2 linked regions of the Arabidopsis thaliana genome follow. The protein of the gene in region 2 interacts with the protein of the main gene of each other region in a pairwise test. Each region holds a gene or a part of one and is shown on either strand. Other genes may lie near its edges.

What was found. The genes of interacting proteins can lie anywhere in the genome.
Region 1: the proteins of MLO4 (region 2) and SUT4 interact in a protein complementation assay, tested with the Arabidopsis thaliana proteins (one large-scale study listed by BioGRID).

The regions. Positions count from the first base shown.
Region 1 is NC_003070.9:3,242,241-3,247,731, forward strand, and holds SUT4 (sucrose transporter 4), read left to right. Parts: upstream 1-1,745; 5' UTR 1,746-2,017; coding exon 2,018-2,555; intron 2,556-2,918; coding exon 2,919-3,646; intron 3,647-3,782; coding exon 3,783-3,846; intron 3,847-3,974; coding exon 3,975-4,018; intron 4,019-4,319; coding exon 4,320-4,478; 3' UTR 4,479-4,501; intron 4,502-4,587; 3' UTR 4,588-4,976; downstream 4,977-5,491. UniProt on the Arabidopsis thaliana protein: Responsible for the transport of sucrose into the cell, with the concomitant uptake of protons (symport system). Can also transport maltose at a lesser rate. May also transport biotin.
Region 2 is NC_003070.9:3,671,242-3,677,831, forward strand, and holds MLO4 (Seven transmembrane MLO family protein), read right to left. Parts: upstream 4,893-6,590; 5' UTR 4,813-4,892; exon of another isoform or gene 4,718-4,812; 5' UTR 4,669-4,717; coding exon 4,543-4,668; intron 4,175-4,542; coding exon 4,117-4,174; intron 4,028-4,116; coding exon 3,807-4,027; intron 3,716-3,806; coding exon 3,599-3,715; intron 3,286-3,598; coding exon 3,225-3,285; intron 2,780-3,224; coding exon 2,688-2,779; intron 2,551-2,687; coding exon 2,476-2,550; intron 2,331-2,475; coding exon 2,245-2,330; intron 2,129-2,244; coding exon 2,079-2,128; intron 1,988-2,078; coding exon 1,947-1,987; intron 1,855-1,946; coding exon 1,681-1,854; intron 1,589-1,680; coding exon 1,553-1,588; intron 1,464-1,552; coding exon 1,396-1,463; coding exon of another isoform or gene 1,326-1,395; exon of another isoform or gene 1,320-1,325; coding exon 1,259-1,319; intron 1,150-1,258; coding exon 694-1,149; 3' UTR 515-693; downstream 1-514. Other genes in the region: AT1G11020 (RING/FYVE/PHD zinc finger superfamily protein), read left to right, coding at 5,727-6,188, 6,492-6,590.

The sequences.
Region 1 (5,491 bases), 430 kb from region 2:
CTTCTTTACTAAGAAAATTTCTACATTATTTTAAGATTTTTCTTTTCCATGTAGTTGTCTCATACTTCCTTCGAAAAGATCTTTCTCTAACTTCAACCTTGGGGATCGAGCAACCATATTTCAATCAACAGATTCTTTCATCACTCTAATAACGGACAAAAAAAGAAAAGATGTCAAAAAAAAAAAAATTGGAATATGCACGTTGATACTATAAGTTCATTTAAATCAGTCGTTAGAGTAAACCTTATTGAGAGTTCAAATTCATTTAAAAACCTGATGAGATAATTATATAATTTCTTATAAGATTTTTTTTTCTTGTAAGAATTTAACGAATAGAATTTTTCTCTCTATTACTTAAAATTCCTCCTCGTCAAAAATTGCAAATGCTTGGCAGTTTTACCATTTTCTCAGAACTACCGTATGAGAAATAAAGTACGTATTAAAAAACAATACAAGCTTTAAAGATAAAAGAGGCAACAAATTTTTTTGACAAAAAAATTAGATGAAAAGAAGTGACGACAAATAACTGAGAAAACACGTTTTGCAAAACTAAAAAAAAAAAAAAAAAGAGAGAGTTGGAAAATGTTTGGAGCTGGTGGGCATTAGTTGGCTATGCAACGCACGGACGCGGATACTTTTCAACTCGTTGCTTACGCGGCCACGTTTTCGTCACAAACCGTGTTTCTTTTGCGGCCTTTTAAGTTTTAATCAAACATTTTTGTTTTCATTTGAATCTTTTTTTTAAGGCGGTTATACGAATAAAATCATTAAAAGGAGAAACGGGCCTTCATGTTTAGGTTTTTGTTCTTCCTCATTTGGGTTATTTAGCTTATTGGTTCAGCCCACAAGAGTTTCCTTCAATGGATAGGGCCTTCAGTTGCATGCCATCATCCTTTCTTGTTTCTCTATAAGCCATTTTTGCAATGAGAATTTCTCAATTTCTTATTTTTGCAATAAAATCATTTTGCCTTAGATGATGGTGGAATCATCCGTTTTTCTTTATTTTGACCCGGTGAGTAATTGAACGCAAAAAATAGTCCAATTATTCAAAACCTTACAATTTCATATCGCCATAATAAACCTAAACATGATTCGAGTGAGCAACTACATAAAAAGGGGAACGAAATGTTGGTACAAAACTGAATTCCAACCCAATCAAGTGCATACTAAACTATTGAGCAAAAACAAAGATAAAAATCAGTTCACCTACCCTAATTAAAACATGATTAGGCCTAAAAGACTATAAGTAAAGATAAAAAAGATGCCATTTTAGAGTACGTTTTGGTAAATTGGCGCCATCGTGTTATACGTTTAAACCGTATAACCTGAATCATGCAGCACGTGTACGGCTCACATTGGCCCAAGCTTGATTAACAAACAATAACGTCATTTTCGTATTTCAACAATTTTGATCGCTCAATCCTTTCGACCTAATTTCCATATTAAGTAATTTATTAGTTAAAACAACGGACTCAACCAAATTACATATTAAGAGAATATTTGAAAATTGTCTATGTAGATGAACATGTATTTGAAAATTGCGTAAGCACACTCTTTCTCTCTCTCTTTTTTTTTTTTTTTTTTCCCCCTCTTCTTTCTTTGAATAAAGATGACATTTTTTTCTGTTCCAAACACAAAACTGCATATTGATAGTGTTATTGAATACTCAACGTCTCTTCTTCCAGCTTACGTAAGTGGAACTTACTTTTTGCCCCGTGATCCAACAGAAAATGACGAATGCTCCCTCAAAATCATTTCGTTTCAACAAAAATATGTATTTTATCCATAGAGAAACAACAAACCTTACACTATATACCCTCTTTTAACGTGCCCACTTTTCATTATTTACACAATTTCCCCAACAAATTTAAAACAATTTACAAAAAGCACTCAACTTTCCTAAAGTAGATTCCTTTAGTCCAATGGAATTCTTACAACATCTTCTTCTTCGCCACCTTTTTCTCTCCACTTTAAGCTTTTTCACTCTCTCTACGCCACGACGACTGTGAAGCGAGAAATGGCTACTTCCGATCAAGATCGCCGTCACAGAGTCACTCGCAACCGTCCACCAATAGCTCGACCCTCTACTTCTTCATCTCGTCCCGTTGTATCTCCTCCTAGATCAAAAGTTTCGAAGCGTGTGCTTCTCCGTGTAGCTTCCGTCGCATGCGGGATTCAATTCGGATGGGCTCTTCAGCTTTCTCTCCTCACACCTTACGTTCAAGAGCTGGGGATCCCACACGCTTGGGCTAGTGTGATTTGGCTTTGCGGTCCTCTCTCTGGTTTGTTCGTGCAACCGCTCGTTGGGCATAGTAGCGATAGGTGTACTAGTAAGTACGGTCGTCGGAGACCGTTTATTGTCGCCGGAGCTGTGGCGATTTCTATCTCTGTTATGGTTATTGGTCATGCGGCGGATATTGGATGGGCATTTGGGGATAGAGAAGGGAAGATTAAGCCGAGGGCGATTGTTGCTTTTGTTTTAGGGTTTTGGATTCTTGATGTTGCTAATAATATGACTCAAGGTCCTTGTAGAGCTCTCCTTGCTGATCTTACTGGTAAAGTTCCTGACTTTAGTGTTGATTGGGTCTTCAATTTGAAATCATTCAAATGTAGTAAATTTGGGATTCTCGTGATTATACACTCACATGCAAAACATGAAAATGCATAAATTTGTGATTTTGGATACAATTTGGGGTTATATAATTACCTAATTGGTTCCTAACAATCAAAAGGTCCCTTCTTTGTTTCTGGTCGGTGGCTTATCGTTGAGTCACAGAGACTTTGTTTTTTCTCTTTCCCTTGAATCAAATTGTGGATTTTGGTGAAGTTAATCGTAGCCTACGATTGTGTGATAACCTCATGGAGTGAAAACAAAGATATGTTGTGTTTTAATTCTTGTCCTATTGCTTTATTTTCAGAGAATGATAATCGCAGAACCCGAGTTGCAAATGGCTACTTCTCTCTCTTTATGGCTGTTGGCAATGTTCTTGGCTATGCTACTGGATCATACAATGGTTGGTACAAGATCTTCACTTTTACGAAGACAGTTGCATGTAATGTGGAATGTGCCAATCTCAAGTCTGCCTTCTACATAGATGTTGTCTTTATTGCAATAACTACGATCCTAAGCGTCTCAGCGGCTCATGAGGTGCCACTTGCTTCATTGGCTTCTGAAGCACATGGGCAAACCAGTGGAACAGACGAAGCTTTTCTTTCTGAGATATTTGGAACTTTCAGATATTTTCCAGGAAATGTTTGGATAATCTTGCTTGTTACAGCATTGACATGGATTGGTTGGTTTCCATTTATTCTGTTTGATACTGATTGGATGGGTCGAGAGATCTATGGCGGTGAACCGAACATAGGGACTTCATATAGTGCTGGGGTCAGTATGGGTGCACTTGGTTTGATGTTGAATTCTGTTTTTCTTGGAATCACTTCTGTGCTCATGGAGAAACTTTGCAGAAAGTGGGGGGCTGGTTTTGTTTGGGGAATATCAAATATCTTAATGGCTATTTGCTTTCTTGGAATGATAATCACCTCATTTGTTGCGTCTCACCTTGGCTACATTGGCCATGAACAACCTCCTGCCAGCATCGTGTTTGCTGCTGTGTTAATCTTTACAATTCTGGGCATTCCATTGGCGGTAAGTTTACTCCTGTAATTCTGCTGTCATGTTACTTACACTATTACTTATGATATTTTGCCTGCTCATCTGTAACAACATGATGAAATTTATTTACGCTTTCGCTGTAACTAATGCTATTGCTACTCTTCTGCAGATAACTTACAGCGTCCCATATGCGTTGATTTCCATACGTATTGAATCCCTGGGCTTAGGTCAAGGTGTGCAGGCTTATCTTTGGGTGTTGTTTCTTATAAAAGTTCTGTTGTGTTGTTTCTTAGAAAAGTTCTGCTCAATGATTTTACTCTACATATGAGTGTTGTTTCTTATAAAAGTTCTGTTGTGGCAGGCTTATCTTTGGGTGTGCTAAATTTGGCGATAGTCATCCCACAGGTACACTTCTTTCAACCATCCTTTTAGCATTATATTTGCCGCAACTCAAAATCATATTCTTCTTTGAATGTTTCTGCCTGTAAAAGGAAGTCTATAAGCATAACATGCAGCAGAGTTACTGCATTATTTGTCAATTGTCATTAATAAACGATTCGTTTTTTTAGTTATGGTCATTGGCCAGTGATGAAAGTACACTTTTTATTTCTCTATATTAGTTGATTGATGAATTTCTTCCCTATGTTGGTTATGGTTTTTGGCATCAAACTCAAATTCTGTTGTTCAATCATTTATGTGTTTGCAGGTAATTGTGTCTGTTGGCAGTGGCCCATGGGATCAACTGTTTGGAGGTGGGAATTCACCGGCACTTGCAGTAGGAGCAGCTACAGGCTTCATTGGCGGAATTGTAGCTATCTTGGCTCTTCCACGGACAAGGATTCAGAAGCCCATCCCTCTCCCATGAGATTCTCTCTTTTGTTATATAAGGTAATAATGTCACAATTCTTTCACAAAAAGTACATAGTAAGCACTTAAGTTGTCACTGATTATTAAAAGCGGCTAATGCGAAATAGATGAGTGTCAAGCGAGGAACGCATAAGGGGAGTGCTTGGAAATGGCAAGGAGATGGAACACTTAATGTGATCCTTGTCGAAAATTCGTGCAATGGCTTCTCGTGTGACTAACTTATTTGCAGCTACTAGGACTTAATCCCCTCTACTTTGGGGACTATGATCCTTGTATACACGAGGCACCATAGAACCAATGAAAATAATACATCATTCAGTTTGTGAGGTATATGCATCTCTCCTTTATTGGAAGTTCCAGTTCGGGATCTTCTCTGTTTTTTTTGTTGTTGTTGTAAATTAATGTAAAAACCTGTGTACAACAGAGTGTTTGTAAGGGCCCCTGAGTTCTGTAACTGTTTATAAAGTTCATTTTCTTTAGAATTAGTTTGATAAAGAAAACCTGAGATCCAAAAAATTTACATGATCTGTGTAGCAAAAGTAGAAAGGAACCATTACGAGTACTAGTAGTCTCTATAGTAGCAGTAACCACCAATAGTCAGCAATAGATTAGGATGACTCTTGGGAATATTAAGACCATCTCCAATGGTTAAGAAGTAATTGGTTCTTAACCAAACATCTTAACAATTATTTATACTAAAATTTTGAAACATGACATGTAACTGTTTTTTTCACTCATGAAAACTTCTTAGCTAAGAAGCAAATCTTAGTTTTTAATTTATTTTGATTTAATTTTCAAAGTTTAATTCTAAAATATTATTCTAAGATACACCTAAGATAAACCATTGGAAGTGCTCTAAGCCTAGTAGGAAGGAATAGTAGCAAATCCCAGTTTTCTTCTTGAGTGAGATGTTTGAGATTGAAATTACTGTAATGCTATTGAGATTCTGTAGGCAGCGTATCAATAATTGAGAGAAATAAGTAGATGCTAATACAGCTTGAGCAATACTTA
Region 2 (6,590 bases):
CTTATTTAAAAGTCAATACCAACGGCGGTAATAATTGATACCTGGTTACTTAAATCCTTAGATTTTCTTAATGCCATAATTGACCGAGTCTATCAATGACATTGTTATCATAACTCAAATCAGATTTGATAACTTCTTAATTTCGTAGTTGACATAAATTAACAATCACTATGATAAAATTTGATATTACTAACTTACTCTTTGTCCCAAAAAAAACAAAGTATCTTACTCAAAAACTATGTACAAAACTAGTTTTAAGACCGAGTACAAAACTACTTTTAAGTTGTATTTACTAGAAATACAACTTAGTAATAATCGACAGGAAATTAATCAAATCCATCGGTAGGCGTGACTGCACAGAAGAAGGAAAATGCTGCAGAGGTAAATTCATAAATAATCAAATGACAGGTGACAAGTCTTTATCTCTGTTTTGAAATCAATATATGTATAGCTGCCATAATTTGTGGTCTTTGTTTATACTGCCATAATCAAAAAGTTTCCTAATGCCATAATATCTCGTTCCAATCCATGCTATTATATTTTAAATTTACCTCTGAACCAACAAAAGATGTACTTTGATCATTGAATACTTTTTTTTACTGGACCAACAAAAGATTTACTTTGTTAATTGTTATTCTTGTATGGATGTCAAGTAATTACAACTGAACCAAGCTTCTAAAAGCAGAAACAAGATCAAGTCCTCCTAAACAACTCAAGAAGTGTTTCTCCAGCATCACCGTTATTCTCATCACTCCCACTTCCTCTCCCTCCATTATCTTCTTCACCTTCAATCTCAATCTCAATCTCATCGTTTAAAGGCGGTATCGAACCGATGTTATTGTATGTTTCAGACAGATATTCTTCCACCCTCGACGTGTATCCATCTTGAGGACTGCTGGATGAAGCTGCTGCTCCGAATATAGACTCTGCTTGGTCTATGGAGTTTATGGTAATCTGATTCAGTGAAGTCATCGATGAGCTCCTAGACAATGTCCCCACTGTCATCTCGTCTCTCTCGTCTATTGTTGCTGTGTCAAGGGAACACACTGATCTCGTGTGCTTAGACCTCTCTTTCACTCTCTTGCACCAACTGTGAAGTGAGTCTCTTACGCTCTCTGCTATCACAGCTTTCTTATGCCGAGATCCCATCTGTTCAGATTCAGGTGAAACCATAGAGTTTTTATGAACGATGTTTAGTCACAGACTTGGATAGGCTTAAGATTGTGGAATTGTAGATATATGAAAGGTTTTGACGAACCTGAGTAACGATTACATTGAGAGGCACAGTGCCATAACTACACCAGAACTGAACGAGAACCCTGCATTCACCAGAAAGAAAAAAAAAATCTTAAGAGACAGTGTGTTGCTGCGAATTGTTGTGTATTTGAAACGCACCCAGAAATTAGCCGGCTTGATATCATCACATGGTTCTTCATGAAGCAAGATCTTTCCTTGATTCCCCACTGATACATGAAATTGATGATCTTCTCAAAAACTGAAAAACTTTGCATAGCTGATTTAAGTATTGATGCATTTTATAAGGTGGCCTTACCAAGAACCAGATGAATGTTGCCATTTCAAATGCATTCTGCATTAGCAGGAAATATATAAGGATCATCTGTGTGAATAGAGTAATATCATGGCTTGAAGAATTGAGAAAGGAAAAGTCTTTTTGCTTACCTGAAAAATGATAAATTGTATCAACCGTAGCAGAATTTCTGGTTTCCCAAACCAGAAGAGCCCATCACGTGGTTTGACTTGAGCCCCATTAGATGTGCCTGTCTGCTGCTCCTTAACCTCGAGAGCAAGCTTGGAGACAACATGCTCAAGTTTGGTTCCAACCAACATGACAAGCTTAGACAACAAAACAGATACAAACACATGCTCTGAGTGTTAGTACTGCCTTATGAATTTCAAGCTTTTTACTTAATCTTGCTTTTACTTACAATGGCAGGAACGAATGATATCCAAAAGTACATATTCAGGCCTGCAAGGAAATCACTGAATTAGTAAAGACAAAGCTTTAATGTGGAGATAGAAATGGAATGTAGTTTGTATTTATTGAACCGATAAGTTACCATGAACATTTATGCAGATGCATACTATAGCGTAAACCCAAAGTGGCCAGCTGTTGATTCATCAAGAAACATTCATCAGTCCCATTCTGTAACTCCCTTACGAAATCTTCTGAAAACAGTTGAATAAAGAGTCTTTGATAAGATCTCAATTCTCAGAAACGCATACCTAATTCCAACAATGCCATGAAACTCATCTTCCATCGTCCGTACCATATACATATGGAAGTTGTATGTAAATGGCAAATTATGTTTCTGAAATTTTAAAGTAATGAAGACCGGATTCAGAAAACTAATCATGTCAGCTACCAGATTAGATGAGAATTCTTGAGAAATTACTAGAAAGTTATATTTTAAATTTGAAGGAAAGACTGAGAAACGAAATAAAAAAGTTACTCACAGTGAGGAAACCTAACCGAAGTGCGAAGTAGTCAGACTTTCGTATGGAGCCTCTAAATTGCCGCAGGAAACAAAGCTGCAATGCAAACATATATTTTATTGCTGGACAAATGCCGTAAAAATAGCTTCTGGAGAAAAATATAACAGTGTTCTTAACTAGAGATATGAAATTTTTAAAAAATTACAGCTTAAGGTAAAAGCATGGGGAGTTACCATCCAAATGAGAAAACGATTGTTACTCCAAGGATGAGAGGCATGATGGAAAACAAATGTAGACTGACGCTTCATCACCTTGGTCTTCTTTGCTGTTGAACAAAGTCAAGAAGACTAGGGTATATATGACTGGAAACTAAAGCATCCTAGGCATTAAGTATCTTTAACAATGAATCAGCTGTTTGTGATAAAGCTAAAATTACAGAGATACATCTCTTTTCCACACAGTTCATTTCAATCCTGTATAAGTGATTATACTAGGACAGAAAGGAATTTTTCCTATATCAGTATTTATAAGTGATTATACTGGATTTGATCTGCTAGTCAAGATGAAGCGAAATTTGCAAATCTGCATAAAAGCCTCTCCACAGCTTAAGTGAGTTCATGAATGAACAACCTAAATACTTAACAGAATCCTAGTTTCATGCTGTTCTTAATCCTAAGATAACACAGTTCCTCATGTGCCCTCAAGATGAGACCCATCAAAAACATACAAGCCTTAATTTGAAGGAGAGACAGAAAAGTCTTGTCATTTACCGTGGATATCTGATTCAGCCATTATGATCGCTTGGGCTTCCCATTTTCTCCAACTGTAAATCTGTGTTACGTGATAAAAAGACAACACTGTTTCAGATGGTATTGATATGTTCGTCTGCTTAATCTTACTAACACTCTATGCACATAAATGATAATATCGAAGGTTTTCCCTCAATTTTCAGATTGAAGATAATTTCTATTTGACATATACTTAGGACCACTAATTATTTGATCATGAGGTTCTCTACATCCTCTAGACATGAGGATAAAGTTGATTGCAAGTATAATACATCTCTTCCTTTCGGAGCAACATAGAAATACTTAAGAATACAAATTTAACACTCATATGTAGATTTAGGAGCTAGGATGTGTACCTTGCTCATGGCTAAACCAATGGCAATGCCACTGTATAGAACATGAGTGATACCCAGGACGAATAAGAATCTTAGGAGTTGCTCGAGTCCCTCATACGACACAAATGGTTCACGGCCCTGGCATTGGATCCAACATCCAGTTCAGTAATATAATTAAAAGTCAAAAGGAAAATAGGCTCTTAAGTCGATAGAAAAAGTAAATATTTACATGACCACATTGATGAGAGGCTTCATGTATTCCATGATGAGGTAAGGAGCTCTGGTTTGTAGAAGAGGTGTGTTCCAGAAGAACTTTCTTATGGATTCCATAGTCCTCTTCAGAGCAAATGTAGAATTTACTATTGAAAAGGGAAGAGTTAACACAGATTTCTGAAATCCATCTCGCGCTTTGTGACAACAGAAGTGATATAAGTCCCAGCAACATCAACTCTACCAAGAAAGTTTAACAAGTCAAAATCAAACGAAAAAGAAAGAAAGTATAAAGCACCACAACATCAGCACAGGTTTATTTGACATACCCTCTTTCATTTTCTCAAGTGAAGTAAAAAGTGCCTTTCTTCTAGTCTTCTTTAACCACTGAAAACAAAACAGAACATGAAATTAGCTCCTCATATATATCTAACATGAAAGACACATCCTGTAATAATGACTTCTCTTAGAGTGAAAACATCAACACTACTTCTACTGACATTTAGCAAGCATAAACACATATCTCCAAGAAGAAACATCTCGTCCATAAAAATTCTCACTTTCTAGCACCCATTATTAGATAAAACATTTCCAGCTCATGAATCATGGAGAGCAAGAGTTAACCCAAGTGGCAAGTGTGCAGAAAAAAAAAAAAAATCATAATACGTTCTTCACACTCATTCTTTTGAGCTGAGCATTTCAACAAACATATAGTAGGCACACACACGAAGAAAAAATACAAAACAAAAACACACCTTTCCAAATCTGTAAATGGCGCGTTCAACGAGAAAGCAAACAAAGACCAAAACAGTAACAACCGAAGCAACAGAGTAAGTCGGCGTCTCTGCAAGAGACCTTCCTTCTTTCATCATATGCTCCATCTCCGGCGAGGAACTTTTCTCCCGAGAAAAATGGAGAATCAATCTGCATCTGTGATTAAGAAAGTTTAGCTTTTTCCTCCATTTAATTTTCTACAATAAAATATACTAGTCAAAGAGAAGAAAAAAGCTCATGGAATGCTGTACCAAGTAGAAACCAAAGCACATGGTTGCTTCCTCGTCTTCTCCAACGGTCTTCTCTCTTCTCTTTCTTTATTCAATTGCTTCTTTCATTTATTGCAGCATTCATGTGCTTCCCCCTAAATGTCGTTAAAGAACCTAAATTTAATAATGCAATTTAATAGCCGGACTTTACCGACCGGTACAACCATTAGTCGATAATAACAAAGCCGGGTTGATGATATCTCAATCGGTTTACGTATCATTGAAATTAGGAGAGAGATTCAATCACTGTCCGAATTAAATGAACAATAATCAGATACAAAAACCAAAATTACGCCATTTCATACAATTTTTGTAAACCGAATTTATAGCAGCAATCTACTAATCATAATCTAGCAGCAACAACTCAACCGATTTTACTGATAAATGGCGGTTAATATTAGAAGTTTACGAGTACATCAAAGCTTTGACTAATGATACTAGGATTTGGCAATTTGTGGTGGACCGGTCACTGTTTTGCCAGGAGAATAAATGAATATGATATAATAAATTAACACGTGTACAAATTCCCAACATTGGGGTGGTGGCGCAGTTGGCTAGCGCGTAGGTCTCATAGCTATTGAGTGATCCTGAGGTCGAGAGTTCGAGCCTCTCTCACCCCATTTCCCTTTTTCTCTGTAATTTTCAATTCCCAAAATAAAGAAGCTTTCGTTTCTCTCTCGCATTGACCCTTCTTCTCCAGTTTTATGTTTTGCCTCTCTCCCACTTCTGTAAATAATCTTCTCACATCCCCGCACGATTATTCTCTAGCCGATCAACGAACACAGAGACGCTAATGTATTTGACTCGATTCGAATCATTAGTCCTCTAATCACACCGATTGATTTCCACCCACAGATTTCTTGTCTGAAATTTAGGGTTAGCGAAGGTTTGGATCAATGATGCAAGGTGAAGTACAATTGCAGCCACCGGATTCACAGAAACTAAGTGATTCCGCTCCTTTGTTAGGAGATCACACCAATTCTTCTTCGGCGTCTCCTTCTGCTGCGTCTGTGGTGGCAGGAAATAGCGATGAGATAAAGGCTGAAGAAGATTTAGAGAACGATGCTTCTTCAGCTCCTTGTTGTCGTATTTGTTTGGAGGACGATAGTGAATTGTTAGGCGATGAATTGATTTCACCTTGTATGTGTAAAGGCACTCAACAATTCGTGCATCGCTCATGTCTCGATCATTGGCGATCGGTTAAAGAAGGTTTTGCTTTCTCTCACTGTACTACTTGCAAAGCACAGTTTCATCTGAGAGTCGAACCCTTTGAGGATAACAATTCGTGGCGTAGAAAAGCTAAATTCAGACTCTTTGTCGCAAGAGATGTGCTTTTGGTTTTCTTAGCTGTGCAGACTGTGAGTATCTCTCTCTCTCAGCTTCTCTTCATAGTTTTCGTGAGGATTATAAAGCATTTATTAAGAGATTCTGAGGATAAATTTTATATGATGTCATAATCTGGCTCACAAAGTGAACTAGATTCGAATCTTGACCTGGTTACTGCGTACACATGGTGGGTGCTTGAAATTGACAATGGAAGTTGATGACTATCAAATTGTTCATTTTGCTCACTGTGACTTGCCATTTTTGAAGCTTGTTTTTCATAGAGATTGTCTGAATCTTTTTGACGTCTGATAATAAGAAGATTGTTGAAACTCTAGGTTATCGCTGTGATGGCCGGATTCGCATATATGATGGACAAAGACGGAGAGTTTCGCAACTCTTTCAACGATGATTGGGATCGTATTTTGTCGAAACAT